Linked DNA regions of Schizosaccharomyces pombe. The protein of the gene in region 1 interacts with the protein of each later gene in a pairwise test. Each region holds a gene or a part of one and is shown on either strand. Other genes may lie near its edges. The genes, in order: fap1 and pre5.

What was found.
Region 2: the proteins of fap1 (region 1) and pre5 interact in a two-hybrid assay, tested with the Schizosaccharomyces pombe proteins (one large-scale study listed by BioGRID).

What each region holds. Positions count from the first base shown.
Region 1 is NC_003423.3:571,336-588,477, forward strand, and holds fap1 (L-pipecolate oxidase), read left to right. Parts: upstream 1-15,207; coding exon 15,208-16,446; 3' UTR 16,447-16,926; downstream 16,927-17,142. Other genes in the region: RNAPII degradation factor Def1, read left to right, coding at 1-2,617; glyceraldehyde 3-phosphate dehydrogenase Gpd3, read left to right, coding at 7,396-8,403; Rho-type GTPase-activating protein Rga6, read left to right, coding at 9,912-12,113; protein Vac8, read right to left, coding at 12,459-12,625, 12,707-13,600, 13,717-14,076, 14,236-14,356, 14,419-14,501, 14,547-14,574.
Region 2 is NC_003424.3:3,214,579-3,231,720, reverse strand, and holds pre5 (proteasome core particle subunit alpha 6 Pre5), read left to right. Parts: upstream 1-9,566; 5' UTR 9,567-9,579; coding exon 9,580-9,598; intron 9,599-9,611; exon of another isoform or gene 9,612-9,641; coding exon 9,642-9,772; exon of another isoform or gene 9,773-9,822; coding exon 9,823-9,926; exon of another isoform or gene 9,927-10,100; coding exon 10,101-10,665; 3' UTR 10,666-10,872; downstream 10,873-17,142. Other genes in the region: isocitrate dehydrogenase Idp1, read right to left, coding at 1-185; cbc1 (nuclear cap-binding complex large subunit), read right to left, coding at 797-2,888, 2,938-3,188; tda3 (FAD-dependent amino acid oxidase), read right to left, coding at 3,529-4,265, 4,338-4,679, 4,741-4,792; TRAPP complex subunit Trs120, read left to right, coding at 5,478-5,643, 5,685-8,873, 8,939-9,216; cardiolipin-specific phospholipase Cld1, read left to right, coding at 11,483-12,769; cell end marker Tea3, read left to right, coding at 13,654-17,031.

The DNA.
Region 1 (17,142 bases):
GACGATTGATGATTTAAGTTTTGCTTTAGAAGAAGCGGACCGGGATTTGGAACTGACCATATTGCATATTACTGAAGGTCACGCCTCCAAATGGGGTGAAGTTAAAAAGAAGCCAATCCCTAAAACAAAGTCCAAACCAACAAGTCATGCTCCAGTTTCCGATAATGTCTCTTCCACCTTTCGTAATGCTACACGTAAATCAAAGAAACCTTCCGCTTCTAAGGATACTTCTCGGGGGGTTCGAAAATCAAAAGCAGGAGCTCCCTCAGATCCTTCTTCCGTTCATGCACCATCCTCTTTAGAAAAGCCTGCTGGTACTGGCGATCTTCCTTCCTCAGAAATTTCTACCAAAGCTCCTGCATCAACGACAGTGTCTTCTTCCGTTGATCCTGGTACTATTAATGAAGATTCCTCAATGAAAGATCATACTACATCTAATGAACAAGCTTCAGTTTTAACATCGGCTAATACCGCTGCTTCAACAAATACGAACGGCACCGCAGGCGGTACTTCGGCCTCAGCAAAGTCGACCAGTGCGGCTGATCAGGCTGTTGCATCTTCAAAGCCTATAAAGAAGGCTTGGGCTTCAGTTGCAAAGTCGAAGAAAAAGGTCACTCCCGCTCCCGCTCCCGCTCCCGAATCCGAACCTTCTAAACCCTCTATCGCTCCTTCTCAACCCTCTAAAACTAATGTTTCCGCTGCTTACGAAAAACCTGCTGAACTGTCATCCTCATCTGTTCCTTTCCCTCACAAATCCCAGGACTCTGCAACTCCCGCAAATGTTGAAACGACCCCCTCCACAGCTACCTCAGCTCCCAAAAAGAGTACTGCCCCATTTGCCATAAATGCAGTCAAGCCCGCTCCTGGGCTTTCCAACATCTCTTCTGCTTCCCTACCTAAGCCCTCCTTTGCGAAGCAAGCCGCTGTTGGCTCTCAAAGCTCTACAACTAGTATGACTACTGCTCGATTACTTTCTGATAGATTCCCCGTCGTTATGCCTGTTGCTAATACTGCTGCTATTCCCGAAAAGGTTCAAGTGCGTTTCGGAAGCTTGACACTTGGGGGTGAGGACAAAAAATCGACAAAGTCTTCTTCAGACAACATAGCACAGTCTGGACCAAGAAGTTCCTATTTTCCTAAAAAGACAGTTTCACCAAAGCCAGAGGCAAAAAAAGAGGCGAGCAAAGTTGCTGAATCCACCAAAATCCCAAAGAAACAACACACTTCAGCATATGAAAGCCGTGCTCCACAATCGAAGGTTCCCGAAAACTTGAAGGAATCTCATGTTAACGAGACACCATATCGTGGTTTACACGATGTAAATTTACCGGCCAGTGGAAACGCCTCTTCTGTCTCGGCCATCCCTCCTCAAGTATCAGCCCAAACGACTATACCCGCTGCATCCACAAGTGCTACAAGTGGCCCGGTGGTTGGTAAACAAAGTGCCGGATATGGCGGTATTTATTCTCCTGCTACACATGGAATTTCCCCTCAACCATATGCTGGTGCTAGTCTTATTCCTCCGTCTACCGGAGCTGCTTTTAACAACGAAACTGCATCTTCAAATGCTGGGGAGACAACTGCACTTCCATATTCTTCTAGATTTATGAATCCTGTGGAAAACCGCTCCGCCAATAGCCCATTCGACAATTTTCAACACATCGACCATAGTACTGAATTGGGATATGCTTCAAATACTTCTCAACAATATCAACAGACTAGTCATCCAGCATACACTACTATGTCTCCTATTGAATATGGTCAAGCTGCACCAGCAGCTCATTACTATAATGAGCGTAATCAATACTCACAATATGATAATGTCGCTGGTAGTGCGTCGAATACACCAGATGTGCACTCGGTAATGCATAACAAGGTTGCATCTTCTAATGCTACTTCTCTACCTGCTGCTGGAACAGCGACTCCTAGCCCTGTTGTTTCTCAACAACAGCCCCAACCTTATGCATTTCCTCCAATGTATCCTATTCCTTATGTGTCTTATGGATACGGTACGATGCCTTACAATAATAACAAGTTTGGACAGCCCCAGCAAGGATACATGTCTCAGAGCGGCTTTAATGATTTCCCTCCCATCTTTGGTGGACACAGCAACGTGTACAACAGACAACAGCCTGGCAATGTAAGTGGTATGAGTGGAACACAAACTAGCAACCCAATTAATAATGCCACTGCAAATACTAGCGGCATGACTGAGAAAGCGGCTGGACATCGTGACTCTGTGATTGGAAATGGAGGCGTAACCGGGGCGAACAGCATGTCAAGTACTTTGGGTGGTTTGTCTTCCATGTCAGGGATGGGACGTGCGGCTCCTGGTATGTTTATGGGTAATGTTGGAAGTTTTGAAAACCTTAGTGCCAATGCGGCCTCTCCTTATGGCTTACCTCCTCAACAAACGCCATTGACCAATGCTGCTACTCAGCAGACAACCTCTTTTCAAAGCAATGCTAACAAGGTCAACAATGCAAACAGCCAACCCGCTGGGTTTCCGTTCAACTCTGGAGCATCTACCAATGCAGGTAGTAATGGATTAGGAGGCTATAATGCATACAACCAGTCATTTATAAACCGACCAGGAGGTTGGTACGGTAATGCTTAAATTGAACTTATGATCAAAAAGTTTGATAACGTAGAAGTTGGAAAATGCTTTTTATAAGGATTCAAAAATAGGCTAAAAATAATTGCGGACAAGATGCTATTAATGGAAGGGTAAAATCGATTTTATTGGGACAATCGAATTTATGAAGTTTTTCAATATATATATGTGTGTGATTTATATGGCTATGTGGTCACATGTGTTTTCTGTTTGATAGTGCTTAATTATGTAGTTTGAAATGTTGCTTGTTCATATCATAACATATCATACCACGCCGTAATGTTGCCATTATATGGTAATTCCTTGTATGTTCATAGAGTATTTTTTTATTGCATTATTAAAACAAACTGGCGTTTTGGAAGAGGGAAAGGGTAAATAAAGATTTGATGTTAAGGTATTTGTAGGTGTGGGTAAGCAATGCGAAGTGGGATAACTAGTTTCAAGTAATGATTATTATATTTCCAAAAGTCAAGTGCTAATGAAACACGTTTAATCAGTTGGCAATTTAGGGGGGTGGTTCACTCGGCATTCCTATTTTAAACAATTTTTGACGGCAAATGTTAAGCGAATTCGCTAAAGCAAAGTGTAAAAAAAAAAAAGCTTCGCTAGTAATATATGCCACACTTCAGTCAACAACACTACGTCAACCCTATACGCTAAGTCTACTGAATAGAAAAACTTGATACTTTTATTTACATTGAAATGAAGAGCAAATTTGTATAATACGTATTATTGATTCTAGAAATATAGCAAATTGAAACATCCAAATTTAGCAAAACAGCATGTCGCTGTTGTAAAATTCTCATGAAAAAATAGAATGTCTAACCTTCACTACTGGCAAGATTCGTTCATGTAGATGTAGTTGAAGAAGAGACAGTGTCATACACAAACGTAGAAAAAGTTCTGAAAAGGAAAAAGACTCCTAGTAGATTATAATTCAAATCAAATCAAACCAATTAAATTCAATAGATCGATGTCTTGAAACATTAATTCCTATAAGGTTGAAAATAGTAGCAATATAACGCAAAAATAGCGAGTCGTAATAGCAAGTAAAATGGTAGTCATTATAAAGGGTTAACTGTATTTCAAGTATAAAGAACGGAGAAAGTTGGAGCAATGGCAATAACACATCGAGGAGTAATTTAGGAAAGTAGTGAGAAAGATGTTAGAAAGGAAATTTAGTAATTTGTAAGTAATGATTTCAGAACTTGGAACGTGAAAGGGAAAAAGATATTTTCATCATAAAGAAAAATTTGCCCATCGTGAAATAGAGAAATAGTGAGAAGAAAACCACCACCGAAATAGCGAGACCCGCAGTATGTTACTTCACGAGTCTCGCTATTTTAGGATTGCATAGGTTATCGGATGGAATCCAGTAAACAAATGGGTAAGGAAAAGTGCGATCAATGATGAGTGGGTTGGGTTACAAATCAATATAGTCAGGTGAAATTAATTCGTTTCTCGATATAAAAGCAATTGAGAAAGGAATTGGATAAAATTTACAGAGAATTAAAAAATGGAGACAAGAAATAAGTGAAATGGGAGTGAACGCTCTTGTAAAAAAGCTATTGAGACAAGTGAAACGGTGAGAGAATGCGTTGACAAATGTGAAAGAAAAGAGAAAAGGGAATGAATATTTATAACAAAAAAAGGTAACAGGATTATCGATGAATTTTGGGGAAAATTTATGTTGAATTGCATGACTTTTTAGAAATCACGCCTCGAATACCGTTAGACATATCATGGTAAACATGTGATTTAGGAATTGGCACATGTAAATGAGGTTGTTGGGTAGAGAGCGGATTTGAATGGTGGTAGATAATTTAGGGTAAATTTGGGATGGATAGAGTAAATGTGAAAATAGTATGTAGGATGGCGGGGGATGCGTGCGAAAGAAAAAGAACGATGCGAAATGAATTGTAAAGTATGTGACTTGGGATGATGCGAAAAAAAAAGAGTCTGGAATAAAATTTGAAGAAGAGAAGAAATACAGTAGGTGGGAGTGCAATGAATTGAATTGGAAGCGAGGAAGCGAACAAAATCGATGGATAACAAGTGAATGAACAACAAAGTGAATTTAGTTTAAAGTCAATTGCTTTGTTGAAAATCAATTTCCTCTGTTTTATCAAGTGTGCGAAGGACAAAGGGAGTAAGAAAGATTCAAAAAAAAAAAAGAAAAGAAAAAGAGGAATTCCTTTTATGAGACATCCAGTTTGTTTGCGAGAACGCCAAGAACTCAAGCGAATATGGAGAGACGACGGTGAAACACGGTATGTTGCATAGTGTAGTGCGGGGTGGATTGCAAGGAGAATGGGTAAATTAGCAAGCGAGCTGGACCCCATTACTGTGATGCATGAGGTAACGCAATGTGCTAAAATGTTTTGGAAAGAATGACACTCTACGTTAGGATAGTGCACGTTGTTGACACTGCTCGTTATGGAGGACAAGGAAGAAACTAGTTCGGCCGTTTGAAGGGAATGGGAATGGGAATTGAATGAAGAAAGAATGGATTGAAGTAGTCAATTGATTAAAAACTCATATTTTTTTGTGTTACTCATTGACCTTTATGAAGACAACAATTCTGGGTTTCCATTGCTTACAGTGTGTTTCCATAGAGCAAAGTTCTTTTTTGATGGCTTTGTTTTTACGTTGCATTACTGTGTTATTCCTCACTCTCTGTATGTGAGTCTCGCGCTGTTTCAGCTGCTTCCTCCTGCTTCCTTCGGTTCCTTTTCCTTTCTTATCGGACGGTGGCCCGCCAAAATTAATTTCGCCTACATAAAAAGTGACGCAATAGAAACTCTCGGAACCAGTATGGACTTGAGGATGAGCGCATCCCGGACCTTGAAAGGATCCTCGTCGATGGTTGATTCGTCAGCTCATTCACATAAGGTTTCTCTAGAAGGTGAATTAGGGTTCTTTCAATCCGAATCCGCCAACCATCACAAGACCTTGTAACCGCCCCGGAAACTCAAATTGTCCCAACTGCCGATCAATTTTTTCCGAAGAAACAGCTTACGATTAACCGAAGGAACGTCCTGGGCAGTCAAGCGCAGAGGAACATAGTGCAAAGCGTCGTAGTTCAGTATAGTCGGACAGCAGAGTATTGTTGAACTCGATAAAGTAGGGGGGGAGAGAGAGAGAGAAAAAGGAGTGGAAAGTGGTAGTAGGTAAATGAGAGATGTCAATAGAAAGCAAAAACTTTATACAATAACAATCTCAACATCAACGATTTTCCTTTTCCAACTGAATCTCTTTTCCAAACTGTGCACTGTAAACAATTGTTCTATATCTTCTCCTTGTTATTCTATGTCTTCTCCTTCATGTTCCACGTCTAACCCGCTCCCTTCCTACCTTTTCGCTACCCTCCTACCCTCCTACCCTCCTCCATCCTCCCTCACAAACAGATGATGTTAACGAGACTTTGCACCTCGTTATTCCCGAGGAGCCGCTGGGATGCCATGAGCCTTGCTAATAGCCCTGTTAGCACGGTCAAACAAAATCATGCAATTCAATGCAAGAATCGTCAGCCTAACAACAGCTAACTGGGCCAACCCTCTAAACATTCCATTCCATCTAGGCATTGGAAACGCCATTCCAAGGGCGGATTGATGGATGATGGAAGGGACGAGACTGACACACACAGCAGATATACTCGATGACTATTAGTGAAGTGAGTCGATGAATAGTGAAGTAAATGAACATTTTTATAGAATCAATAGAAATGGATTGAATCCAATTGCATTCGAAATTTCACAGTTGACTTGGATTTACCACTTGTCTCATTTCTCCCACTTGTCCTCTTGATTACTATGCTATGCTATGCTATGCTATTCTCTTCTCTTCTTCTTTCCTCTACACTCATTGTTTACATTTCTTTTTCTTTTCCACCGCCATCCCAACTCATCCATTCCATGCCATTCCATCCTTGCCTCTCTCGTTCCTGTCAAGCGAGGCGAGGGAAAGGTCAACGCAATGCGTCGATTGTTGTATGATTATGAGCCAAAAATATTCGCATGGGAAGTTATCTAGAAGGCCGCTAATTTCATTATCCGATCTGCCAAGTACCGAACACGGAAATCGCCGCTTACGATACCGTCGTTGGCATGACAACTCTAGCGTAAACACATACAATATAAATAGGAGTGGTAGGCCAGTCTGCTTCTTTGTAGTATCAAGAAATCAGCAATAGTACTTGTTTGGTTTTGAGAAATAGCAATCGAATTAATTAGGTATGTGATGCGCTGTGGCATTGGCAAAGCATTGGCTTGGTGAGACATGTGACATGTGTCAAACACCTGCCAAGAGGGAAAAATAGATTGAGGAAAAGGAAGGGATATTTTCTTTTGATATTCTCTTTTAGTTGAAAAAGATGGATTTTGAGCGATGAATTGAAATGAAAATGGTCAGTGAGATTGCCAAGAGAAGAGGCTCTCTGATTTTACTTGACATGACGAAAACATGTCATATCCAGTATGGTGAAATTGTACAACGAAGTCGTGATAAGATTCGTTAGTTTCCGTTTCTTTCGGTAAAGAAGGCTTTATTTTTCGCTTGACGGCAGTTTGGTCAGAAATTAAAATAGACTTGCCGAAAGCGACAAAGCTGCTGTTTTTAGTATACTTTCTTTTCTATTCTTCTCTCAATAATGATATCTTTTCTTTTAATGACGCTCATCGTTTCTTCTTCTTCTTCTCTTCGCTTTCTTCCCTCTCTCGCTTCTTTTTGCCTTTTTCTCTCCTCTTTGATCTCTTCTTCTTACTAACTCTTTTCAGATAACAATGGCAATTCCTAAAGTTGGTATCAACGGTTTCGGTCGTATTGGCCGTATCGTCCTCCGTAACGCCATCCTCACTGGCAAGATCCAAGTTGTCGCTGTCAACGATCCTTTCATCGATCTTGACTACATGGCATATATGTTCAAGTACGACTCTACCCACGGTCGCTTTGAGGGCTCCGTTGAGACCAAGGGTGGCAAGCTTGTCATCGACGGTCACTCCATCGATGTCCACAACGAGCGTGACCCCGCCAACATCAAGTGGTCTGCCTCTGGTGCTGAGTACGTTATTGAGTCCACTGGTGTCTTCACTACCAAGGAGACTGCCTCTGCTCACTTGAAGGGTGGTGCCAAGCGTGTCATCATCTCTGCTCCTTCCAAGGATGCTCCCATGTTCGTCGTCGGTGTTAACTTGGAGAAGTTCAACCCCTCCGAGAAGGTTATCTCCAACGCCTCTTGCACCACCAACTGTTTGGCTCCCCTTGCCAAGGTCATCAACGACACCTTCGGTATTGAAGAGGGTCTCATGACCACTGTTCACGCTACCACTGCCACCCAAAAGACCGTTGACGGTCCCTCTAAGAAGGACTGGCGTGGTGGTCGTGGCGCCAGCGCCAACATCATCCCCTCCTCCACTGGTGCCGCCAAGGCCGTCGGTAAGGTTATTCCCGCTCTTAACGGTAAGCTTACCGGTATGGCTTTCCGTGTCCCTACCCCCGATGTTTCCGTTGTTGACTTGACCGTCAAGTTGGCCAAGCCTACCAACTACGAGGACATCAAGGCTGCTATCAAGGCTGCCTCTGAGGGTCCCATGAAGGGTGTGTTGGGTTACACCGAGGACTCTGTTGTCTCCACCGACTTCTGTGGTGACAACCACTCCTCCATCTTCGATGCCTCTGCCGGTATCCAACTTTCTCCTCAATTCGTCAAGCTCGTCTCTTGGTACGATAACGAATGGGGTTACTCCCACCGTGTTGTTGACTTGGTTGCCTACACTGCTTCCAAGGATTAGATTGCTTCTTTCGATTTATTCCGTCGTCAATCTATATCTCTCTAATCAGCCGTTGTTAAACTCCAAGCTATTCAACTGAACATGCGTTCGGTTTTGGGGGGTCTTACATATGTGCGAACTTTTGGTTTTTTATTCTTATGCTTGTTTTCCCCCTTTTCCTTTTCTGGGGTTTGCTACGATAATGATAGACATGTATGAGATTTTCCTCTTTTATTCCACGTTATCATTTTGATTGCGCTCCTAGGGCGATCTCTATAGCTGACGACCTTTCTACGAAATAGATTAAGATATAATTTTAAATGAATTGTTTTTTCTTCACTTGTTTTTAATGTGTAAAAAATCCGTAAAGTATGTGGTGTATGAAAATTTTGATTTGAAATGTGGTAGTTTATTGGAGGTAAAAAAGGTAGACTGATTTATAAAGCATTATATAGTTATCATAGTTGCTTGTTAGCATTCTATTACCGTTTGCATTTGAGATAATTGTTTTCGTCTTGATGATAGATATTCGCTAAGATGTTTCCATAAACTTGGCCCACGCTTTTTTGGGTGAAGTAAATAATTTTTCAGTCCTTTTGAGGGCCTCTGCTGCCTATCTTTACTGCCCCTATTTGCAAGTTTCTAGAATGGAAGTGTAAGTCAAACGATAAGAAAAATTATATATTAATAGATAGCAATTTAAATTTAGCATTTTCATTCTTAGTGTTCGTTCACTCCACTTTCCAGATCAATCTCAGACCATCAAGTATGATGATGAAAGCGAGTGTTCCATTTAGGCGGTTCTCGCAACTCTTAATGTTTGATACTTAGAGCTGTTTGTGCTTCAGAAAATTATTCAAAAAATTTCATGCTTGCATTTGATTCTTTTCTGGATAACAGCTAATCCTGTTTTTTGTATTTTGTCCTTTGGTTTTTTGATACCGCATTGCTAGTCACATGTACCCTCATAAAAAATACAGTTATATCTAAGCGAGAAACAATCGCTCGATTGCGAGGCTCATCTATGGAACTGTTTATACTTGTGTCTCATGTTCCAATAGCTTGAAAGTGTGTTTAAGCATGAGATTGTTATTTAAATTATCAATTCATATAGTAACAATATCTGCTTTGGTGCCAAACATTTGAATTCCTTACGAACTAATAATAAGATTGCTTCTCAGATTTCTCAGTGGAATACTTCCATTAGTAACTGCACCATGGGAGTTTGAAAGCTGCTGTCTTTCCTTAAATTACAATAGTCCGTGTAGAAGATGAGTTTTTGGTTCGTTCAATATGTGACTACTTGTTCACCTATCTTTCGCTTCGGCTCGTACTCTACTTTTCAACGCCTGCTACTTGGCTGAACCTCTTAGTAAGTAACGGATGTAGAACGGTTCTTACCAAAGCCAACGTCTCTCTAATCGACATTTATTTCAAAATTCTATCAGTGGAGAGTATATATTGAGGTTTATAGCTTTTACGGGCCTCGAAAACCTCGTGTAGTAAAATTTGAAATTGTTGGGAGAAGTATGACCTTAAATCCTTCGACTCTCAACAATGGAACTCTTGGGGACCTGAAAGAGCACAAGGATGTCGTCTTGTCTAGCAATGCGCAGACCGATGAGAAACGTTTCGAAGAACCGTCGCTAGAGGTGGGAGGATCGTTAGCGAAAGTGGAAAATGGCCTTTCCACATCAATTTCATCATCTGCAAGCAATTTGGAGGGACAGCAAGCTCCTTTCTTTACTAAGCAAAATTCGTGCTTGTCACGCTTTCGTGAGCTAGCTCAGACTTACAACATACACGAAATTAATCTCGAGGAGTACGTTTCCCAGATAAAAGAGGTTAAACAATCTCTGTACTCCGACGATAGCGTATTTAATGAATCCAAAAGTTCTTCACCTCCAGATGCTCATACTGATAAATATTTCACTCCATGTGGATCCCCTACTAAGCTGATACACTCGACACTATTGGAAGAGAGAGATACTCCGTCCTCCCTAGAACATGTTAGCTTTTACCTTCAAGAAAGCGCAGTATCAGAAGTTCGGTTTGATAAACCTTCAAACAATGGTCCTCTAGGGAGGTCATCCCTAAATCTAAGCTCCCTTTCACACGAGTTACAAACTTCACAAGATTCTCCCTCCTTGTCGGCTACGAATCAACTATCCTCATCAGATACGTTGGAACCTCTCCAATACCCACCATCTTCATTTGGCTCTCAAAGACAGTTCAATGCCTCTCAAGATTCTCCAAAGCGAAGCCCTTCCAAGGGATCTTGGTCCTCTATCCTCCGCCGCCCCTCTCTTACTTACTCTCCAAAACGTCAGTCCACTGGCTTGCATCGTCGTTCTTTAACGAATTATTTTAAATTTCCTCATCGTAATGCACATCAACATAATGCAATTGCTCATAATCCTTCCGTATTTGGTAAACCTATCGGCGATTTAACGTCAGATCCCACAAATCTTTGCAAATTTACATTTCCCACTCCTGAATGTGCACCTCCTTCTTTGTTGCTCCCACATATTTTTGCTCAATGCGTACATTTTCTATCTTTAAATGCTTTGCATGTACCGGGAATTTTCCGCATTAGTGGTTCTGGTCCCGTAATAAAAGCAATCACAGAATACTTTTATTCTCCACCTCATTTTTGGCTTGATGAAACATCAGAAATTTTTAAGCGTATTGGATTTCCAAGTTATATCGATATAGCAGCTGTCTTAAAACGGTACATTATGTTATTGCCAGGTGGCCTTTTTACGCATAAAGATATATTGAATCTTTTAGTACCATTATACGTTGATTCAAGTAGAGTAAAGGTTCCTATAGACATCCGGAATGAAATGGCCGCTCTTTGCTTTTCACAAATAGATTCTTACGTGCGCTTTTCTATCCTTTGCTCTCTACTAGCATTATTGCATCAAATAGCTACACGGACTCAAGAGTTGGAAAATGGAATGGAAAATACCAAAGACTCTACTTTGATGAAGCCGGAAGCCCTTGGTATTATTTTTGGTCCTTTATTGTTGGGTAACTCTTCTACTGATCTTTCGAAATCTTGTCCTTCTGGAAATGTGAATGACCTTATGAGATTTGAAACCGAAAAGGCTAGAGTTGAAGCCAAGATTGTAGAGGGACTGATTATTCACTGGCCAGAGGTACTACTTAAAATCAATTCTCTCGACATACCCAATTGTTTTTCTGATGTTGGGTTAACTGACCAAGTTGCTATTTTTACTCCTGCAGTCCCGAAAGAAGATTCTCCAGAACAGATACCTGAAAATGTGAATGCATCTGAGGAAAGTTATCCTAATGTTAAGCATATCTCGAAGCTTCCTTTAATCAATGACTCTTCCGATAATGAATCGGGTAACCAAGAAAATGATGATGCTGTAGCAAATGAGAGTACCAAAGTCGTTGTTGACAATCAACAGCCCCAGCCTAAGATTTCCACCGTTTCTGATACTGCTGTTCCTTCCATGAGTTTTGCTAATAACATTTCATCGCGGTCGGTTATTTCAGCTGCTACAGATAGTAAACCGTCAACTCGCACATCACCGCCATTCGTGAACAATACAAAACCGATCGTCGCAAAGTCACCGGTCACTGTTACTGCTTCTTCGGAAACCAATAAAAAATCGCAGAAGATTAATAAAAAGGCATCTCCAAGGGTCAGTTTGTGGACAAAACTGTTTGGTAAATTCCGATCAAACAAGAAGAAATCTTAAGAAAGGATTTCTGTTTTCGGTGTCATTTATTTATCATATATTACAACCATTTGTTTGCTCTTAAAGTTTAGGTTCATTTTGATATTTTTTGGTTTCATAGTAGTATTTATTAAGATATGCATGTTAGTTTTTCCATGTCACATGTTTTATTCAGGTGTTGAAGGGATAAGTTTATTATTTGGAATCAACTACGGACGAACTTTTATCATCTTCTAAAAAACTAATCATTAATAAAATGTGATTCATGTCATTAAGTCAAATAGACTTCCGAACTGGCAAACGGGGTTGAGACGGTAAAAATATAAAGAGATGAAGGGTAATATAATGTGCCAATAAAAATAAAAATTAAGAATCTGTGTCCTGTTCAATTAAATGCAATGCCCGGCCAGATAATAATATAACATCGCCTTCACCATCTTCATACTCTCCATTATTAGCATCTCTAGCAACTATGTCATTAAGTAATTCGATGATATCGTCGCTAGATTGTATAAATGCAGTTAAACGTGGAACTATAATGAGTTAGCTAAAGAATATATTCCGTATATCGTGTGTAGACAAAATCGTCAATAAATTCTCTAAAAAAAACTTACCACCAGCCTCTAGTAATTGTACAATGGTCCAAGCAGCAATATGGGCAAAAGTAGAATCTTCACTACTTAAAAACCTGACCAGATAACCATGAATGCCACCAGCTGGAGAATCCCAACACTCTATGAACCGGCTATAATCATCGACATTAGAAGAAAGATTACCCAGAGCAGCCGCAGAGTTGCCTTGGACTTCAATCGACATAGAGTCTGTCAATGGGATTAAAACATTACAAATACCAAAGTTAAGAAGATACGACTTGAATTCGTCACTTAAAGCAAGAACGGCTAGACAGGCAGTCATTTCACTTTGCACGCTAACAGGAGCATCTAAAATTAAACAGCGAAGTTTTTGAATAGCATTAGCTTCGATAATAGCGCGCTTATTTCTCTCCGAGCTAGCAGCTAAGTTTCGTAAGGTAGAAACAGCATGACACTGTATTTCTTCATTTTCCGTACAAGATAATAAATCCACCAACGGACGAAGAAAACCAGCATCAATTATCGGAGACTCATTTAAAGGATGTATAGAAATGTTACGGATACAGGCAACGGAAGCAAGTATTAAAGGAAGGTAGGAAGAACGAAGCAATCTTAATAAAGAGGGTAGGGCATTGCTTTGAACAATTTCTATTTGATAACGCTCATCAGAGGCAAGGTTTCTTAATGCTAAAGCAGCTTGGCACTGGACTTTAGGACTTGAAGTATCCATTAATTGAATAAGAGAACGAACGAGTTTCGGCTCACTTTGGGCAAGTCTTTTACGGTGTACTGCATCAACAGCAATATTACTAATAGAAGTAGTACAATAGTATTGAACGTCAGTGTCAGAGCTAGGAAGCAAAGATACTAGCACTGGGATAGTACCAGCGCTGACAAGTTGCTGTCGATTTTCATCTAGTATCATAGTTAGTTGATATCCATAGATTATGAGACAACCACTAATTGAAACTTTTTGCTCAAAACAAAGCTCAATAGATTAACAAATAATTAGCGACAAATGTATAACTTACATGAGTGAGTCATGTTTAACAATGCTCCAGTTGCATTTCTTTGAACTCTAATGTCCTTGCTTTTGGCAAGACGGGTAAGAGGGCCCAAGGCACCAGAATGAGCTATTTTTGATTTATTTTCGTCAAGGGTAGCTAAATTAGTAATGCAACCGACAGCATTGCATTGGACTTCAACGTGAGGAGACATCATTTGACGAATTAAAAGGTCTAATCCATTCAATTTGACGACCAAGGCCTTATTCTCGGCATTTACAGCAAGGTTTCCTAAAGCAACGCTGGCAGCTCTCTGTATTTCAGCATCAGGACTCTGGAGTAAAAACAAGACGGGCTCTATAGTTTCACGATCAACTTCTCGAACATCTAAAAAAAGTGTGTTAGTCAATCACTGTAAAAAAAACAAAGAAAGAAAGTTGATAACACAATATATATATTCTTTCCGTTTTGTTAAATCAAGACCTCATTGTTCATTTCCGAAGTTGGGAATTGTTTAAACCAAAACTATTGTTTTTATGTCATTACCTTTTTCAGTAATTTCTGCAAACGCAAGCGCTGCTGAACGCTGTAGATCAAGGTTATCGGAGTATGCCAAAATGGTTAAAGCACGTAAGGGCTCCTCGCTGTAAAAGTTGACTTCATTTCTCTACAACAAGATAACGTTAGTCAAGAGAAGGTAAGAATTTAAAGTAATCGACATTCACTAACATCTTCAAGAAAGCTTAATAAATCCGCAACAGCTTCCCTCTCCCGATCGGCCAAAAGAGGCTCATACTGTTCATCTTTTGATTCTATGTATTTGTTAATAAGTTTTTGATTTAAAGAAGCACTCATACTCTCACAACAAGACAAGCAATTGCCCATCTGACTTTGTTTATATGATTGTTTAGTGTTTGGAGGAAGTTAAGTGACAGTAAAAGCAAATTGCAAGGACAGTTAGCAAAACAGGGTTGCTGTGTTATCCATTTATAACGTTACTTACAGTGTACAATAAACAAACTTATAAAATCCCAAAACCTCGCAAAGCTAGTTAACGAAGTGGAGTTTCGGAGAATTAAAATGTAAACAAGACAAGTGCGAAGAGTATTTTTCCTATAGAGTGAAAATAAAAGATATTGTTCATTTAAATAAAGACTAAAATATAATTTTTAAATAAACACCCGGTTGTTTTGGACCATAGTTGATTTTGATAACTCGGCATGACCTGTGCTAGCAAATTGGCACATTCCCTCTGCACGGCTCAAATCAGACTCGCTTAGTTGATTTATTTTCATTCTTTCTAAGTGACTAACTCTGTATCAAAAGAACTACTGCTAACATCAGAAGTATCAACAGACTGTGATTTTGCGATATCGATGCCTGACTTCGCTAGACAGCACCTTATCTTGGAGTACTAGTAGCTGGCAATGAGTACTGATAATATATATTAAGCCCGACTGCTAAACCACCTTTTAAAATTTAATTTAAACCGCATCTGTAATATTTTTGGGATTAAGAATGGTAAAGAATACTAGCGTAATCATTGTTGGTGCAGGTGTGTTTGGATTATCTGCAGCTTTAGAGTTGACTAAACGTGGTGGATATACGATCAAAATCTTGGATCGAGCACCTCCGCCTGTTATCGATGGGTCTTCAGTCGATGCAAATCGTATAATTCGTTCAGACTATGCGGATGCAGTGTATTGTTCAATGGGTATTGATGCTTTAGAGGAATGGCGCACAAATCCACTTTTTAAAGAGCAATTTTATGGATCAGGACTTATGTTTGTTGGCCGTGACAATGTTGAGTATCGGGACATGAGTCTGGAAAACCTGACAAAAATGGGTGTGTCAGCAGCAAAGTTTCAAACTACAGAAGAATTGCGGAAACTTTTTCCAAAATGGATTGGCGAGCTGAATGATGGAGAAGCTGGGTATGCCAATTTTAGTTCTGGATGGGCCAACGCTGAGCAGTCTGTGAAATCCGTAGTTAATTACTTAGCACATGCCGGTGTTTCTTTCATTAGCGGACCTGAGGGAACTGTTGAAGAGCTTATAACAGAAGAAAACGTTGTTAAAGGCGTGAGGACTACTACTGGAGCTTACATGGCCGAAAAACTTATTTTTGCTACAGGTGCATGGACTGCATCTCTTTTACCTAATGACCACACACGATTCTTGGCAACCGGTCAACCAGTCGCATACATAAAATTGACTCCTGAGGAGTACATCCGCTTTTTGACAAATCCTGTATACTTAGATTTTGATACTGGATTTTATATTTTTCCCCCTACCCCCGATGGTTATCTAAAATTTGCACGCCATGGATACGGATTTACGAGAATGCAAAATCTTAAATCCGGAAAAGTCGAATCTGTTCCACCAAAGAAACCTCTCGTTTCTCCTATCCTGCCCAAGGAAGCGGAATTAGATTTACGCAGAAACCTTCAACGTACTTATGGCGAAGAAATTAGTCAAAGGCCATTTTACAAAACCCGTATTTGTTATTATACCGACACAGCCGATGCCGAGTTTGTATTTGATTATCATCCAGATTATGAAAATCTGTTTGTATGCACAGGTGGTTCAGGCCATGGATTCAAATTCTTTCCAATCCTCGGGAAGTATAGCATAGGGTGTATGTTTCGTGAGTTAGAGGAGCCCTTATTGAAGAAGTGGAGATGGAAGAAAGAAAATTTGGAGTTTGCTGCTTTAGACCACAGCCGAGCTGGACCCTCTCGACAAGAGCTAAGCTAAGATGTGCAATGCTAAACAAAAGAAAGGCTAGCGTCTATCTTTCTAGGCTACCTTATTTTTGTGTTGAATACTAATTGATTCTTCTTCATTCGAAATATTACGAGCATTGAATGTATACACATTAACAATTAACATCAACTTTATAACATCCAGACGATTATGTCGGTTTACTGTTTTCGAATAAAAACAGGGACATTTTCTATACCCTTTACATCGAACTTTATGTCCTGAATTAATATTACAAAGCATGCTAAGTAAAACCTTTTTTTCAATTATTTTAGATATGCATCATATAGCTAACTCGTTGGCTTTAAGAGAACTAAAGCGTCACAGCTTACTGAGGTTGTTTTTGATACTTAGATGCAATTCAAACATTTATAAATAATTAAATTTGACAATCTAATTAGAAATAACATAAAAAAAAAAATCAAAATAGAATAAAATGATCAAGAAGCTTTTTGTTTAAATGCAAATACCGTACTCGCTTTTATTCGTTGTATCGGTTAAACGACGTTTTACTGTTACGTTATCTGCCAATCTCGGATTTACGTAGCATCAAGTACGCATATCTTACCGCAATATTTAGAGGCGACTTAGTTTGTTAATATATTATATTTTTACACTAGTTATTGGAATGTTAACATTTTGAAGAGCAAGATCGTTTTATTTTCAAAAAGATTTTGCTGGATTCGTTGT
Region 2 (17,142 bases), on another chromosome or scaffold:
ACCAACTTTTCACGAATGATCTTCCAAATCACTCTCGTCATCTCATCACCATCCATTTCAACGACTGGGTTTTTAACAGTGATCTTTTGAAAAGATTTGCTTGAAGCCATACGCATATTCATGAAACCACGGCCTGCGGCAGCCAACTTGAAAGGTGCCTTTACGGCAGCACGTACTTCCAACATATTGTGTCAGTTTTTTTATCCTTTAAAGTAAATGAAATATTCGACGAAGCTAAGTTGAGAAGGAGTAGCTGTGCAAATGTCCCTTAAATCCTAGTTCTATCCACCAAACTGCCTCTGTTCCTCACTACTTCTTACAATAGCACAAAGTGGTTGGTTAAGTGTAAGTTACTGATGGCAGTAGTGATTTTGTTACATTTTAGCAATCCTTTCGTTAAACTGAGAAAAGATTTAGTCACTTCTGATATCGGAGATGTGAGTGAACATTTCGCTTATCCATTCGCTCACATAGTATGACACTACGCAAAACTAGAACCGACAAGTCGATCGTAAAATATCTTATCTTTAGATATCCGTTACCTCTGATAGATCTGATAACCCTGTTACCTATAAAATTGAAATCTTCGTTTCTAGTAACTTAACTGTGAAGTGCAGCAGCGTCCTACAAGTGCTTATGAAAATGGGACGTTATAATTAAATATTTAATATAAGCTATATCCACGTTCAAACGTTGTAGCAGATTGACAACGTCGTGATTACCAGTCGAGTTCTTCAGTTTAATCTTTTTGATATCAAAACAACACTTTCTTCATTTTTGTTATAGACTACTTTCTTTATTTTTCCTCATTAGTTGCATCAGCTGCTGTTTGATTATTTTCTGATGGCTGCTCATCTACTGCGTCGACGGGTTGCATTTTTGTGTCTTCCTGTTCCTCACTGGTATTTTCTTGAACAGGCTCGTTTGCTTCTTCTATCGTGTCCTTTTTAACAGAGAGGAAATTTGATTCCACATATTTTAACATAAGGTTAAGCCAATGAGATACCCATATATTTTCAGCATTTTCGGAAATAAGGGCGCGCAAAGCTGACAATAGTAAATTCGTGACAATTTCCTTTTCCTCATTCGCTTCATTGATTAGCGAAGAGTCTTCTTTGTTAGAAACCGAACGCCGCAATCTAGCTGCTAATTTATTAAAAGTGGTGTTAACAAGTGACCACGTATAACTACGAGACCATATAGTCACGTCTTGCTTGATCAACCACTCAATAATAGAGGTAATACTAATTATAGAGTAGTTCAGCATTTTATCTAGCCACATAACTGCGTTGAACGGTTGTAATTTCCAAAATGAAAAAAGTTCATCAACAACCTCTATTTCGGAATCTAATGATTTTCGAGAAAAATGTTTCAATGTATTAAGATGTTTCTCGAACACGTTCAATGCGTGCGAAAACGATCTCGAACCCAAGCTATAAGCACAAGACATAACTAATCGGACAGCAGATGTCTCGGAGTTTTGAATCTCCTCGCTCTGCAAAATAATGTCAAGTTCTTCTAACGGTTTATGTAATCTCAATGCTTCGATAATTTGACTTGACTGTTGATATAGCGGATGAGTCTCATTTTCGTACACGAAATTGGGACCCGACGGTTGTTCGCCAAGCAAACAACGTAACTCTTCAGGGAGTGAGTCAGAAATTCTTGTGTAATAGCTTAAAATAAGTTCCCTAGTAATAGTTTCCCGCATAAAAACTTTTTTTGGATGAAGATCGTCCAGCTCAACGTCAGGAATCCACTCATTCCACTTCCAGTGAAAGTTGAAATTACTAAGGTGATGTGAAAACCAGTCAATAAATCGATCAAGTGTTTGTAAAGGTAAATCAGAAGACATGGTATACATTAGCCGAATGACCCTTCCAAAAGTTGGAGCCAAAATTTTAGGAGCGATACGGCAGCATTCAATCAAAAGCGAATGATAATAGACAGGTTTATACGTAGTATTCTGTGAACCAAGAAGCTCACCCAAAACAGCTTCAACTATGATATCTTCTGCTTTCCAACGTGATTCCGATGGATCTAAATTTGGTAATTCATTTACTGGAGTACCACGAAGAGCAAAAGTTTTGTAGGTAAAATAAACATCTAAATCTGTAAGAACTTGAGCAGCCTCAACTCGGTTAAATTCCAAATGGTTTATAACATCCACACTTATATCACGAAATATGCTGGCTGCAACGTCGGAAGCGTCAGGAGTCGTGCGAATTTCAAAGTTATTAAAAAGCTCAAAAAATCTCTTGAAGGAAGGTAGCTCATTTTGCTGAGGAGTGGGCTGAAACGTCCATTCAGGAATACTTGGGCTAACCGGAACAATATGAACGAAATCAGATTCAAAAAACTTCCAGGGTTGAGATATATAAGGAAAAGTAAAGTCGTTTTCCCGAGATAGAATTAGTTGTTTATAGAGTAAGTCCAATTCCTCCTCTGAAAGATTGTCATGTATTGAAAGGGGATTACTTAGAGTTATCGAAGATTTCCTATGACGAACGTAAATCTCACATTGATCCAGTATCTCATTAGCAAAATCCTTTTTACCGAGATCGTTGTTAGCTGCGATGAAATATGGAAGGTTTATCAAAATTATGCGCAGGAAATTATCTCCCCAGACACTGGGTTTGGTTTCTTTTGAGATAGCGTCAGCCAGTAATGAAAATAGTGGCTTAAGGGTACCTGGTTGAAGTGCAAATGACATGCAAATGAGCATTCGTAGATCGACTTTAGCCTCGTAATAAAGAAAGGAGTTTAAATTCGTAAAATACTGTAAACAAAAATACGCAGCTGCTTTTTCTAAGATTAAAGGAACCCTTAATGAGGCTCTTATAATTAATGTAGCCAAATGAGGTATTTTGACTGGAATGATAAATGCACTAAGGATTAAATTAGTTTTCTGAAGGGACAGTATAAATTATCACTTACGTTGTCTGAATGCAATCTAAGATAGTTGAAATGGTTTCAGGATCATTAGCTTCACGACTAAGAGACATAGCAACATAATTAATGTCATCAGCAGCTACTGAATTTCCTCGAGGATCCGCCAAAAAGGTAATATCCTTTTTTATACGCGCTGCAAGTAGCTCTTGAGAGTTTCCTCTATGGGGACGAAATCCATAATTCTCTCCCTCTCTCGTCCTCTTTCTGGGTCGAGTTGATCCCCGATAAGAAGACATTTTGTGAGGAATGTTAGTGTCTTACTGTTGTTGGCGTATAGCAGAATTGTAAAAACACGAGCAAGTGTTCTCAAGTAACAATCAACTTAGAGGTAACGAATGGTATACTAAGTCGAGATGGAAATTGTAAAACAAAAAAAAAGAAAATCGATTTTCCAATGCGATAAAAACGAAAACCTTAATAAATATGATTAGAAAATTTTACAACACTGTAATATTCTATTTCGGTAAAGGAATAAGCATCCATTCTGCTTCTATATTTTCACCTTTCAGTGAATGAGTCCTTCGTTTTTTTTGACAAACAATTAAAACAAAAATTAGAGGATATAATTTGAAATCCTCATTCACCGAGATTTAAGTGAAAAGGATCTGTGTTTATGCTTGTTTTTTCCTTGCCAAGGAGCATTTCTGCCATACATAAACCCGTGGCAGGAGCTTGAGTTATCCCCCAGTTGGCGTGACCCGCTGCAACAAATACACCAGACTTGGTTGTTGATATTATCGGGATACCTGTTATTCTACTGGTAGGAAGGAACTTAAAAGATGCGTCTAAGTAGTTACTCTTCGTATTCTCCGAGAGCACCAAATCGGTCATTTCTTTCAATTCGATAATTTCAAAAGGATTAAAAAAACATCGATTACTATCTTTTGGCAGCAAATGGAATTTTGGAGTTCCCATAAAAATAAGCTGCTCCCGGTTTTTACTGAAAATTTCGGTTGTTTTGCAAATGTTTAGATTACCCATGGTATTTAAACAACACACAACAATGCTGTCGCCAACGGGAAAATTTCCTACCGATAGGTGAATTATGGGAATGCATAGACCTGCAATACCAGTAAATGGTAATAGATAACCAGTCCAAGGCCCAGCACTCACCAGCGTTTTATGCACCTGTGCTTTTATTATTGTATCTTCAGCTTCTTGTTTTGGAACGTATGTAATATGGTGTTTACTAACCTCTTTCACACTTCCAAATATAAACTTTACTCCTCGTTTTTCTATTTCTTTTGCCATAAATTGACAAAACAATTTTGGATTGATCATTGCAAAATCGTTGCCGGAACCGATACTAGAACCTAAATGGTTAGTCTCTATATGACTTATACAATAAAGTTATTATTTTTTTTTGGTAGCACTTATGAGCTTACATTTTTGCATGCGCTCTCGTTGAAGCCATTGCAAAGTATCGGGAACTTTGGCAACATTGGTATTGTCCCATTTCATCTTACAAAACCAAGAATTGGCAGTCCTATATTCCCAGTTTTTCTTCCCATCAAATTTTTTATCCAATCCTTCATAAAGCTTCAAAGCGAGAGTTGAAAGTGGCTGTATGATTTCATTCTGGCACAGTTTTGTCAAGATTGCAGAATCAATGCCGGAGCTACCTCCTGCTATTTCTTTTGATTCAAATATAAATATGTCCAATTCTCCTTTTTTGTATTCTTGTTCTTCTGTTAAGTAAAACGCCGTACAAATTCCAATAATGCCACCTAAAAATCATCGTCAGCATGCTCACTCATCATTTATGAAACTGTTGTTCTCCAAAATTACCTCCTACTATTCCTATCTTTGTCTTATTTCCTTCTCTACTTGTAGCGCTCATATTTGAAGTTGGAAAGTTGACTTGAAACACAATCATCTTGCTGTAACGCTTCTAAACATTACGTTATCCTCACCAGTATTTCCTTCAATCTCTCTTATTTTTTTACCATTTTGAGAATAAAATAAATAGCAATAATAATAATAACAAAACGGTTCAATATTCAACAGTTTTTGCCATTCAGAATGCCTTTCATAAATTGCTATGGCGAGATATACGATTCTTTCATGAATACCAAACGATTGTAAAAAAGGAAAAAAATTACAAAATACTCCTCCTAATCTATAAAGTCAAGTTCGCATAAACAAACGGATTTTTAAATTTTTGAAATGCCAGATTCACATTCTTCAGATAGTTTACATATTATTTACACATGCCTTAATTAAAATTACTGCAACCAGTTCATTGAGTTGTAATTATATTTTGATTCCAAATAATCTACTGAAAACAGCTGTACAGCTGTATATGCAGAATGGTATTTCCAAAGCATAACAAATATTAGACATTTCACAACAATGATAATTGTTAAGCGATATCATCTTGAAAAGTTTATTTTACCGACTTATGATCGACAATCAACAGAAATATGCAAAATAAATTAGTGATGGTATGGATGTAATCCGTTAAATGGTATTCAAGCACTTTGTTCTCAGTACGTGCTCCAAAACATTACATTGCTGGAGATGCTATGGAATTTGATTTTTTTTCGTTTGTTGCTCCTTCCAGAGTTCAATCATTAGTCCTTCCTTTTGGTCGTGTTAGAAGAAAAAGTTTCTCGTCCTACCTACAATTACTCCGCAGAGTAAGTCATATTCAGTTGAGTGATGTCCCTGTAGCTACTGCTACTAGAAAATGTATGTTTCTTATTTTTATGATTATTGACTAATCTTAATAGCGAGTTCTTTCAATCCTTTGGCTTTTCCGTTGGGCAGATTGGTGTACAATTTCCTAACCAGCCTTGATGATCAACAAGCTCTACTAGAAGAATTTGAATATTTTCGGCGCGTTTTCGTTCTTATTGGTATTGTAGATGGGTCAGAGGAACAAGAAGTTGAGCAATTATGTTCTACCTTGGATGTTTGGCGGAGAAGGATACCTCATGCGTTAGTTGCAAAATGCATCGTATTTAATTGTCCAGAAGACAAAGAGAATATATTTAATGCTCCCAATATCATAATAGGACCAAGGTCTGATTTTTCAATAAACTCCGTAATGCGGTCTATTTTATGCGATATCACTGCTGAGTTGTTAGAAGGATTTAGTTCGCTCGAGTTTTCTATACACGCGCGTTCCGTGATCCTTTCTCCAATTACTGACATGCCACATTTGGCTCCCTTGCAAAGGAAAAATTCTAATGCGTCGATTCACTCCTTAGGCTCATCTTCTCGTCCTACTTTGACGAGAACTCCCTCGATCACATCAAGATCTGTGAATAGTGTAACGGAACGATCCAAAAGTCTCTCAAAGGGGCGTATTGAGAACCAATTTGGCCAGCTATACTTGCTGGCCGGCAGAGTTCCCAATGCGTTGAAGCATTTCTCAACAGCCATAGCGCTTTCTAAAGCAACTGGAGACTTTCTTTGGCAAGGACTTTCGTTGGAGTTATTTACTGTTTGTCTGGTTATAATGGCTCATTTGCATGTGGACGTCCAGATTCCTCCTAATATATTATCCATGTTCCCTTCTTATAATGATAGATTGAATGCCTTTGGACCACTCAAATTTGATGCACTATTAAACTTTATCACAGAAATGCGCAACGTAGTTGATCAATTATATCAAAAATCCACTCTTCAACCTAATGATGCTGTCCCCGGCCTCTGTTTTTCCGAGAGTATCCTACGGTATGCTCATTTACTCACAGTTGTTTATAGTTGTAAAGGATTTAACGACAACGCTTTGGATCATATTATTGCTCAAGCCCCCATAAGACCTGTTAAAAAAGCTACAACGTATGTACCAAATAAAGCAACTATTTGTCAATGGATTATGAGAGCCCAAGGACAGCATCTTAACTCTCTTTCAATTCGTGAACGTTGTCGCATATACGGGGCTATGGCAAATATGCTTGGAAGTATAGGATTTTCTCGGTTAAGGGTCAAGATGTTGCGTGAGTTGGTTGCGAGTTTAACACCTGTACTATTAGAAACGCGTAGGCAAAATGCTTCAAAAAATGGAATACATCCGGAGGTTATTGCTTCGCATACCGCACAATCCTTTAAAAGCACTCATTACTGTAACATCTTACCTTTGATATCTGAAATATGTCAAGAATATGGCCTATTGAAAACTGATGGTAGTCTTCTAAATCCAGAATTAACAAAATGGGGTTGGTCAAATTTACAATTTGATGTTCTTAATGAGCTTATATCCCTTTGTGATTCTCTATCTGACTATCGCAGTATTCTTCTTTTAATTTCTTTGTTTTTTCTCACTTCTGTTCAAACTGCTTCTTCTTCCCAACAAATCTCTATGTTTAAAGCTTTTAGAAAAACGTACCTATTTGCTAGCAATGCTGGTATACACATTAACGCTCCATACTGGGACCCATTTATGATAACGGATTTAAAGTTCATTGGTTCGTCCGAGAATGCCGAATTAATTCATCAACGGTTAAGAAACGGGTTACCAAAATCAATTGAAAAAGGACCATTCATCTATAATCCATTTAATAGAAGACAGGACCAAAACCAATCGAAATCAGTCCTCGTTGTCGATGAACAAGTTGCGTTTTCGATCTATTTTCGTAACCCTCTTAGTGTATCAGTTGAAGTGCAAGATGTTCATTTAGAAACGAAAGGGGTTTCTGCAAAATGTTCACATTCTACTTTTACGATGCGGCCACTATCTATAGAGCGTACTACACTTACTGTAACTCCTACGGAAACCGGAGAATTACATATTGTTGGTTGTCGTGTAAAAGTCTTTGGCTGTGAGCCAATTCTGCAGTATGTTTACGAAGCAAAGGATAAACACAAGTCATTGCACGTTTACCTTGAGAAAAGTAAAGACGTCAATGCTGAACTTCGTTCCTTGGATACCATCGACCATTTATGGACTTACTTTCCGTTTAAAAAGGACTTGAAAACTAAGTCATTTGATTGTATAGTTATAGCTAGCCAGCCGAAATTATCGCTTGCTTTTCAAAACCTAACATCTGGAAAGTTTAACTTTGCTGAATACGAAACGGGTGAATTGGTGTATGTAATTGAAAATACGTCTTTTGTTGAGGCATCTCACATATCTGTTCTTTTTGAGGACAGTTCATCCAAAGCTTTTGAGCAAGCTATAGCGGATAAAAGTATCACAGCAGATCGATTATATGAACTCCAATTTGAAGAATTTAACCTCCCAACATTTACTGTCGAGAGTAGCCAACCGTTTTCACTTTCACCAGGTGAGCGCAGGGAAATTCATATTAAAATCCGGGCAAAGCCAAATTCTCAAGAAGGATTGATATTATTTGAAAGTAGTGTGCATAAGCCTGAAGACACAGAATTTTATGTTAGACGTCTAAGAATCCCGGTTTCTTTAAACATAAGTAAAAGAGTGGATTTGAAACAATGGTCTGCGTTTATGGATACTGAAGGAGATCCCAGCTACTGCTTGGTGCTATTAAACTTTTATAATCATTTCTCTGAGCCTTTATTTGTCACGGTTAAAACAGCAAGTACCGATGAGTCCCGATCAGTTTTAATCAAACCAAAAGCTGATAATGTCATATTATTCCGTTTAAAAAGATTTATTATGTCCTCTGAGGAAATCAATCTTGATATTCCAAACTTATCTACAAAGCAATTCGTACTATCTAGCGGATTTAAAAAAAGTATCGAGGATAGCTATACTATGAAAAAGCGTTTTTGGATTAAGGAGTATTTTCTAAAAGAAGTTCAAGCTTCTTGGAAAACCGACGATAATCTTCACCATGGAGAGATTTACTTGAGAAATCATATTTTGTCTGACGAAATGGCAAATAATCTATCTATTCTACCAATTAGGATTCAGGCTTGGGTTAGCTATGATTCTGAAAAAGTCACCACGGTTTGTCCGCGAGAACCATTCAAACTTGTTCTTGAATTTTTCGGTATGCAATTATTGATACTTCATATTCCTTCCTATGTCTTTTAATTTTACTAATTTCTATAACAGGTCATGCCGATACCAATATGCGTTATAAAATATCGTGGACTCAATTAAATACTCAAGCTAACACTTCTTCCTTCAACGGACTAATTTTAGATGGCCCAGAAGAGGACATTGTATGCTTTAACAATTCCAAATGTCATGTCGTGATCGAGCGCAACATGTTTGCATATACAACAGGGATGTACAATATATTTGTTCGTATTTTTAACGAAGAACTACAATTGCTATCGCAGCCTGTTGACTTGGATGAGCCCATACTACTAATTGTTGATGCGAAGTAACTCATGTCATTAATGTTCGTCTATATTACTCTTTTTCTTCCATGTCTTGAAATCTAATAGTTTTGATCCGAAAATAAATAAATTTTACATATTTTACTCTTAACCATGCTATTCAGTAAGCGCTTGGAAGAGTGTCCACGTTCAGAGGTATCAGGTCGTATTTATAGTTTCATGCGTACAAACGTGAAAATTATATAAAATTGCAACTTAATAATTTAGCATCAAAAGAATCCAAGGTATGCTTGCTTTGTAATTATTATAAGTGGAATACGTTCTGCCCCCACTTAGTACCTTTTATTTCTAATATTTAGCGCAGGGCTACGAGATTATTAGAAACATTAGCTGAACGTGACCAGAACCAATATGTTTAGAAATCAATATGGTAAGTAAAATAGAAGAAATTGGTCTGCTAACTTTATAATTAGATGGAGATGCGACTACGTGGAGCCCTCAAGGAAGACTCCATCAAGTAGAATACGCATTAGAAGCTATTAAACAAGGATCAGCTACGGTTGGACTCGTTTCCAAAACACATGCTGTTCTAGTCGCTTTAAAGGTATCCACAATTTTATTTTACTAGGGCCTCCATTAACTTTCAAAATGTAGAGAAACGCAGAGGAACTTAGCAGCTACCAAAAGAAGTTGATTCGCATTGATGACCATATTGGTATTGCTATAGCTGGTTTGGCTCCTGACGCCAGAGTTTTGAGGTAAGGCATTTAATGGATGTAAGACAGTCATGCAAAAACCGTAATCTCTATGTGTGTTTGCTTTGGTTTTTGAAATTGCTATCGGTGGGAATACTTTTTTTGAGAGTATTACTAGGCATAATGATTTTGTATATTACAATTTACGTTTGTTATAATGGAATATTAACGCAACAGTAACTATATGAAGCAAGAAGCTTTATCGTCTAAGACTTTGTTTACTCGACCTATTCCTGTCCGTCGTCTAATGAGCAAGGTTGCTGAAAAGGCTCAAATTAATACTCAGGAGTACGGAAGGAGACCTTATGGTGTTGGGTTTTTAGTAATTGGGTACGATGAAAGTGGTCCACATTTACTCGAGTTTCAACCTTCTGGCCTTGTTCTAGAATATTTGGGTACTAGTATGGGTTCACGATCCCAGTCTGCTCGTACTTACATAGAGCGAAATTTGGATACATTTCCGGATTCTAGCAGAGAAGAACTTATCCTCTCAGCACTTAGAGCTTTACGTGATACTCTTTCAAAAGACCAAGAACTGACCGAAGAAAACGTTTCTATATCCGTCATTGGAAAAGATGAAAAATATACTCTTTACGATCAAAATGACACAAAAGAATGGCTTGATAAATTAGGCGACAAAGGTCCCGCGGCTGCTCGTGCTTCTAGGGCTGCCGCCGAAGAACCTCAAGCGCCTACTGCGGAGGCTATACTTGACTCTGCTGATGCCATGGAAACTGATTAATTGCCATGATTCAAATGATACCTTTCTTAAGTACATATGTCATAGAATTCCGAAAAGATGATTATCCTTTATAGGGATTTTTCTTAGCTATCCTTTTTATTCCTTCGACAATTACGATTTCTGGCATGTCATTTCCAAGCTATTAAGTTGCTGGATAGAAATCTAGGAAATTTAATGAAAAATAAATGTTAACTTTGTGCATAGGAATGTATTATTTTATGTAATTTGCTAAGTAATTAGATGAATGGTGCTATACTTGATACGTTACTTATTATATTTATATGAATTAAAAATAATAATTATTAGATGTTCATAACAATGACCAATGTCAATAGTGTTGTCAATAACAATGCCGGAAACAAATTTTAATATTCTGCTGCACTGAAGTATTTATTGCATAAAGGGACTTTATCATATTTGAACAATTGCTGTATTAAGTATTGAACTAAAACCTCAATTGTCTTTCTATGAAATTTTCATGAAAACTTGCTTCATCATTTGTTCGCCTTTTTTTAATTCAGCCAAAATGTTACGAAGATTAACGAAAAAAAGTCAGAGAATGTGCTGCTTTTCCGCTGCTTGTTACAATGCCATTGCTTTGTCAGATCAAAACCTTCGTATCTTGCTTACATAAACTTACCCACAGCACAACACTTTGAATTCCAATTGCCGAGCCAATATCCGGAATTTTATTTAAATATCGGAATTATTTTGTTTTAAATAGTTCATAAACAGTAATTTGTTTGTATTGTCATTATCGCGGGGTTGACTCCTTCATTGACCATTTTGTGTTGAATTCAGCGTTTGCACCGTTACTATGAGCCAAGTGAAAGTCGCGGTGAGAAGTGAGGAAGCAGCTAATTCTTATACGCAAACGTTTGGCATGTCCTGGAGGCAATGGCGTCAAGCATGCTCTGAAGAATATGCGAAACAATGTGAGCGTGAAGTCCTGCACACTGTCGATTTTATTCGGGAAAATGAAAAGGACCCAGAAAGGTTAGTTGAAGTTGTAGATTCCAAAATCTACGATAATGATGGATTGGTACATGAGGTTTGTGTTAGTGATAAAGCAACAGGAAAAGCGAACAAGCGAAGCATTGTTTACATGCATGGGTATGGAGCTGGTCTTGGTTTTTACTTTCGGAACATGGATGGTTTGACTAAGGGTGTGACAAAGGATTTTAATTCTTATTTTGTTGATTGGCTAGGCATGGGAAACTCGTCAAGACCGCCTTTCGATATCAAGGGGCAAACCGCTTCAGAGAAGGTCGAAGAAACAGAGAGGTTTTTCACTGAGTCATTAGAAACATGGAGAATCGGTCATGGTATCGAGAAAATGATCCTTGTGGGCCATAGTATGGGAGGTTATTTGTCTGCTGTCTACGCCATGCAATATCCGGAACGTGTTGAGAAACTCTTACTAGTTAGTCCAGTTGCCATTCCTGAAAACCCTTTTGCAAGCAACGATGATGCGGAAGTTTACAATTCCGTTGCTTCCTCTGCTGTGCATGCTGTTATGGATGAACCTCCTTTAAGTAATGTTACTAATGAGGTTCTGCAAACCCAAGAGGAAACTACAGGTTTAGAGCCTTCCCGGCCAAGCAAGCCAAAGAATCCTCTTCCAAGATTTATCACCTTCTTATGGGAGCAAAATGTTACACCATTTTCTCTACTTCGTTTAAGCGGGCCTTTAGGTCCTAAACTAATGAGTTTTTGGTCTAGCAGAAGGTTTTCAACGCTTCCCCCGGAAACGTTTAGGGCATTACATAATTACTGCTACTCAATATTTCGTCTCAAGGGTTCCAGCGAGTATGCACTTGGCAATTTGCTCGCTCCCGGAGCTTTCGCTAGACGATGTATTATGAATCGCTTGCGCATGTTGAAGTGTCGAACTATATTCATGTATGGAGATAAAGATTGGATGGATGATGTTGCTGGTTTAGAAGCGACAAACAGATTGAAGGAGATGAATATTGAGGCGGAGCACCACATAATTTCAAATGCTGGTCACCATTGCTATCTTGATAACCCTGAAGATTTTAATGAGATTGTACTAAAGGAGATACGAATGAGTTTACGTTCTTTTTCTTCGATTTCAGAGTAAATTTTTATTTTTTATGCCCTTCGCTTAGTGCTTCATTATTTTTATTTATTCTTTCTTGTCCTGCAAACTATCCCATGTGATGCTGTTATAGACCTCATTCATTAATTTATACTACACATTATTCTTTGGATTCCAATTGAACGACTTTTTTTTACCTAACTTTTTATCGGTCCATTTTGAATCGATTTTTATTGCATTGACGCTCATTTGCTTCATTTATCGCAATTTTATTTTTTTGTCCGATTACTTGTCCAGCATGTGTTTTCAAATGTTTTATTTTTAAAATGTGCCTTATAAATCAAATTTTGTAATATTTGTAGGCCATTTACTACAATTAGCTTATAAAGTAAATAACAGTTTTTGTGGTTGTCTATTTTAAATTCTATCCTATAGAGTAATTGGAAAAATACATTTTTCTTGCTCTAAGCTTTTCAAACGTGAAGCATATTTCGTACTTCTAAATTTCAATTCAAACAGAGCATTCAACGGTAATGTATACTATTGCGCTTAAACTTGTATCTACTCTCCCTTCTTTATGTTTAATGAAGATATAAATTATAAACATCATACAGTATTACAAAAATTTATTGTAGGGTATTGCAATTGTATTCGTTGTTCTAAGACTTCTCTACTCTAAGTTGCCGTTTCCTGATGGACTGTGTGTTTCCATTACCCTCCACAAGTTATGCTCTTTTCATATTATTTCGAAAATTTTACTTTTTAATTCTTTTTTAAAACTAAAATATATATTTTTTCTATTTTATTTCTTTTTTAAGCGTAAAAACCGAACCTTTTAAAAAACTCCTTGGATTAAACTTTCGCTTTGATTACCATCTGCAACTGCAAAACCAGTAAGCGATTTTGCAAGGTAAAGATCGCAATACATGGTTCAAAAGGTTTTAAGCCGTCAATCGGATAACTCTCAGGATGTGTCTGCTGAACAGCTTGATGTAGTGGAATCCGGTAGCATTGATCAGCAAAATATACGTGCATGGGTTGTTCGCAAAGTCAAAGAAAATGATAAAAGGACATCTACGAACCAAAGTTTTAAATGGGAAGCTGTAAAACCGGCTTCTTGTCTAGATGCTGCGAATGAAAAATTCATGTACTTACATGGAGGACGAGAAAAATCTGGTATTTCAAACTCTTTGTTTAAGTTGGACCTGGATTCATGCACGGTTTATTCTCACAATAGAGGGGAAGACAATGATTCTCCTGCTCGAGTTGGTCATTCTATCGTTTGTTCTGCTGACACTATTTATCTTTTCGGAGGATGCGACTCAGAAACAGATTCCACATTTGAAGTTGGCGATAATTCATTGTACGCATACAATTTCAAGAGTAATCAATGGAATTTGGTTTCAACACAGTCCCCCTTACCATCGCCTCGCACTGGACATTCTATGTTGTTAGTTGACTCTAAATTATGGATATTTGGGGGTGAATGTCAAGGAAAATATTTGAATGATATACATTTGTTTGATACCAAAGGGGTTGATCGGAGGACGCAATCAGAACTCAAGCAAAAGGCAAATGCAAATAATGTTGAAAAGGCTAATATGGAATTTGATGAGACTGATTGGTCATGGGAAACACCGTTTTTGCATAGCTCATCCCCTCCACCTCGTTCAAATCACTCAGTTACTCTTGTCCAAGGAAAAATATTTGTACATGGAGGGCATAATGATACTGGTCCATTAAGTGATCTTTGGCTTTTTGATTTAGAAACACTTTCATGGACCGAGGTTCGTTCTATAGGAAGATTTCCAGGTCCGCGGGAAGGTCATCAAGCTACTACAATAGATGACACGGTTTACATTTATGGTGGTCGTGATAATAAAGGGTTGATACTCAACGAGCTTTGGGCTTTTAATTATAGTCAACAGCGGTGGTCCTTAGTCTCAAATCCGATCCCTATTTTGCTTTCTGATTCATCTTCATACAAAATTGTTTCAAAAAACAATCATATTTTACTATTATATCTTAATGCACTTGACGCTCCTAAGCAACTGTTATGTTATGAAGCAGATCCCAAAAATTTGTATTGGGATAAGGATAAATTTTCTGATATTCCTGTTCTTCAGCATATTAGCATGAAACCTTCAAATGCTTCAAACCACACGGTTTCTCTTGGTTACCTAAACGACCGTCCTAATCATTCCAAAAAGAATTCTGTGACATCCACCTCGTCTAGTCAATTTAACAATTTTTTGGAGCAAAATCAAAAAGCCGTAAGATCAGCTAGGCATCGGCACTATGCTAGCTTGGATGAACAAGGATTACATTCTTTGAGAAACCTTAGTAAAACCTCTGGAATGAATCATTCAGCAGATTTCTCTCTTCACGAGTTTGGGCAAGCTGACCCCTTTGCTTACGAAATTGAGAAACCTATTGCGTCTCTTCCTTTACCTAATGGAAACGATACTATTTCTAGGTCTTCCGAATCTTCATCTCCAATCAACGAAAGTGAAAGTAATTCTCTGCTTAAACTCCAATCAGATTTTAAGTTTTCTAATTCTGATGATCGTGTAGCTTGGCTTGAGGAGCAACTGTTATATTGTATGCAACAAGGCTATACTCTCAAACCTCCTAACCTGTTTCAACACGTTGATGAAAAATTGAGGCTTGAGAAAAAAGAGCAGCTCAGTTATTTGGAAATACTGAAGGTGATTGAGCAAATGCTTGAATCTAATGAACAAAAGTTTAAAAAGCAAATCGTTAGCCTAGCATCTGAAAACGCAAAATTGGCTGCTCAGAGAGATGCTGCCGTGGAAAATGCAAATTATTCACGTTCACTGATCCAGAAAAAGACAACGGACGAAACTGTTGGATCTTTAATAGAAAAAGTTGGAAAGTTAGAGTACGAAGTTCAAGGGACTCTTGAAGAGGCAACCTCTTATTATCAAAAAAATACTGAACTTCAACAGTTATTGAAGCAAAATGAATCCGCTTCTGAACTCTTAAAATCTCGAAATGAGAAACTTTGTGTAGATTATGATAAACTTCGTAGTGTGTTTGAAGAAGATTCATCAAAAATACTATCTTTACAAAAAGAAAATGAAAACCTACAATCACAGATATTGCAAATTTCAGAAGAGTTAGTCGATTATCGTTCTCGTTGCGAGGCTTTGGAGTATGGAAATTATGAGCTGGAAACGAAGCTAATTGAGATGCATGATCGAGTGGAGATGCAGACAAATGTGATTGAAGCATCCGCTAGTGCTCTTGATGTGTCCAATACTGCCATATTGTCTTTTGAAGATTCGCTCCGTAGAGAAAGGGATGAGAAAAGTACGTTGCAACAGAAGTGCTTAAATTTACAGTACGAATATGAGAATGTTCGGATTGAGTTGGAAAATTTGCAATCTCGTGCGCTAGAGTTGGAGTCAGCCTTAGAACAATCAGTGTCTGATGCTAAATACTCGAAAGCTATAATGCAAAGCGGATTATCAAAGTTATTATCTTCTATTAACGAAAATAAAGATAATCTTAAAGAGTTTTCGAAGTCGAAACAAAAGATCTCCTACTTGGAGTCTCAGCTAGAAGGGCTTCACGAGTTGTTACGTGAGTCCCAGAGACTTTGTGAGGGTCGCACTAAAGAGCTACTAAATTCTCAGCAAAAGCTCTATGATCTAAAGCATTCATATTCCTCTGTAATGACAGAGAAAAGTAAACTTTCTGATCAGGTCAATGATCTTACCGAGCAAGCAAAAATTACTCAGCGTAAGCTCTCTGAGGTACAAATTGCATTGGCTGATTCAAAAATGAATCAACAGTTATCAGGAAAGGACTCTACTGACGTTCATCTTCCTACGGACTTTTCAGCTTCCTCCTCTCCCTTAAGATCATACTTTAACGAAGAGGATTCATTCAATAATGCTAGTGCTGCACATAGTTCAAAAGAATCTGACATACCTTCTGGTGGTGTGTTTACAAAATATCGTAATCATTTTGGTAATTTGATGACATCTGAAGAAACAAAAGCCCCGGATAACAATGATTTACATAAAAGACTTTCTGATGTTATCAACAGTCAGCAAAAATTTTTGTCTTTGTCCCCTCAGGTATCTAAAGATTATTATGATGTTCGCTCAAAACTAAATGATACCGCGGGCTCATTTTCAGGTGAAGAAATGCGTGCAATTGATGATAATTACTATGCCAGTCGTATTAAGCAACTGGAGGATGATTATCAAAAAGCCATAACATATGCCAATTGCTCAGATGAGTCATTTCAGCAGCTTAGTCATTCATTTATGTAACTCTATTCATCAACTAAGGATTTTTTATCTCTTTTTTGGTTTGTACAATTTTCTTAATAATTTTTTGAAGTGGTTTGATTTTTTCTACTTAATCTCAAGTCGTTTGACTAC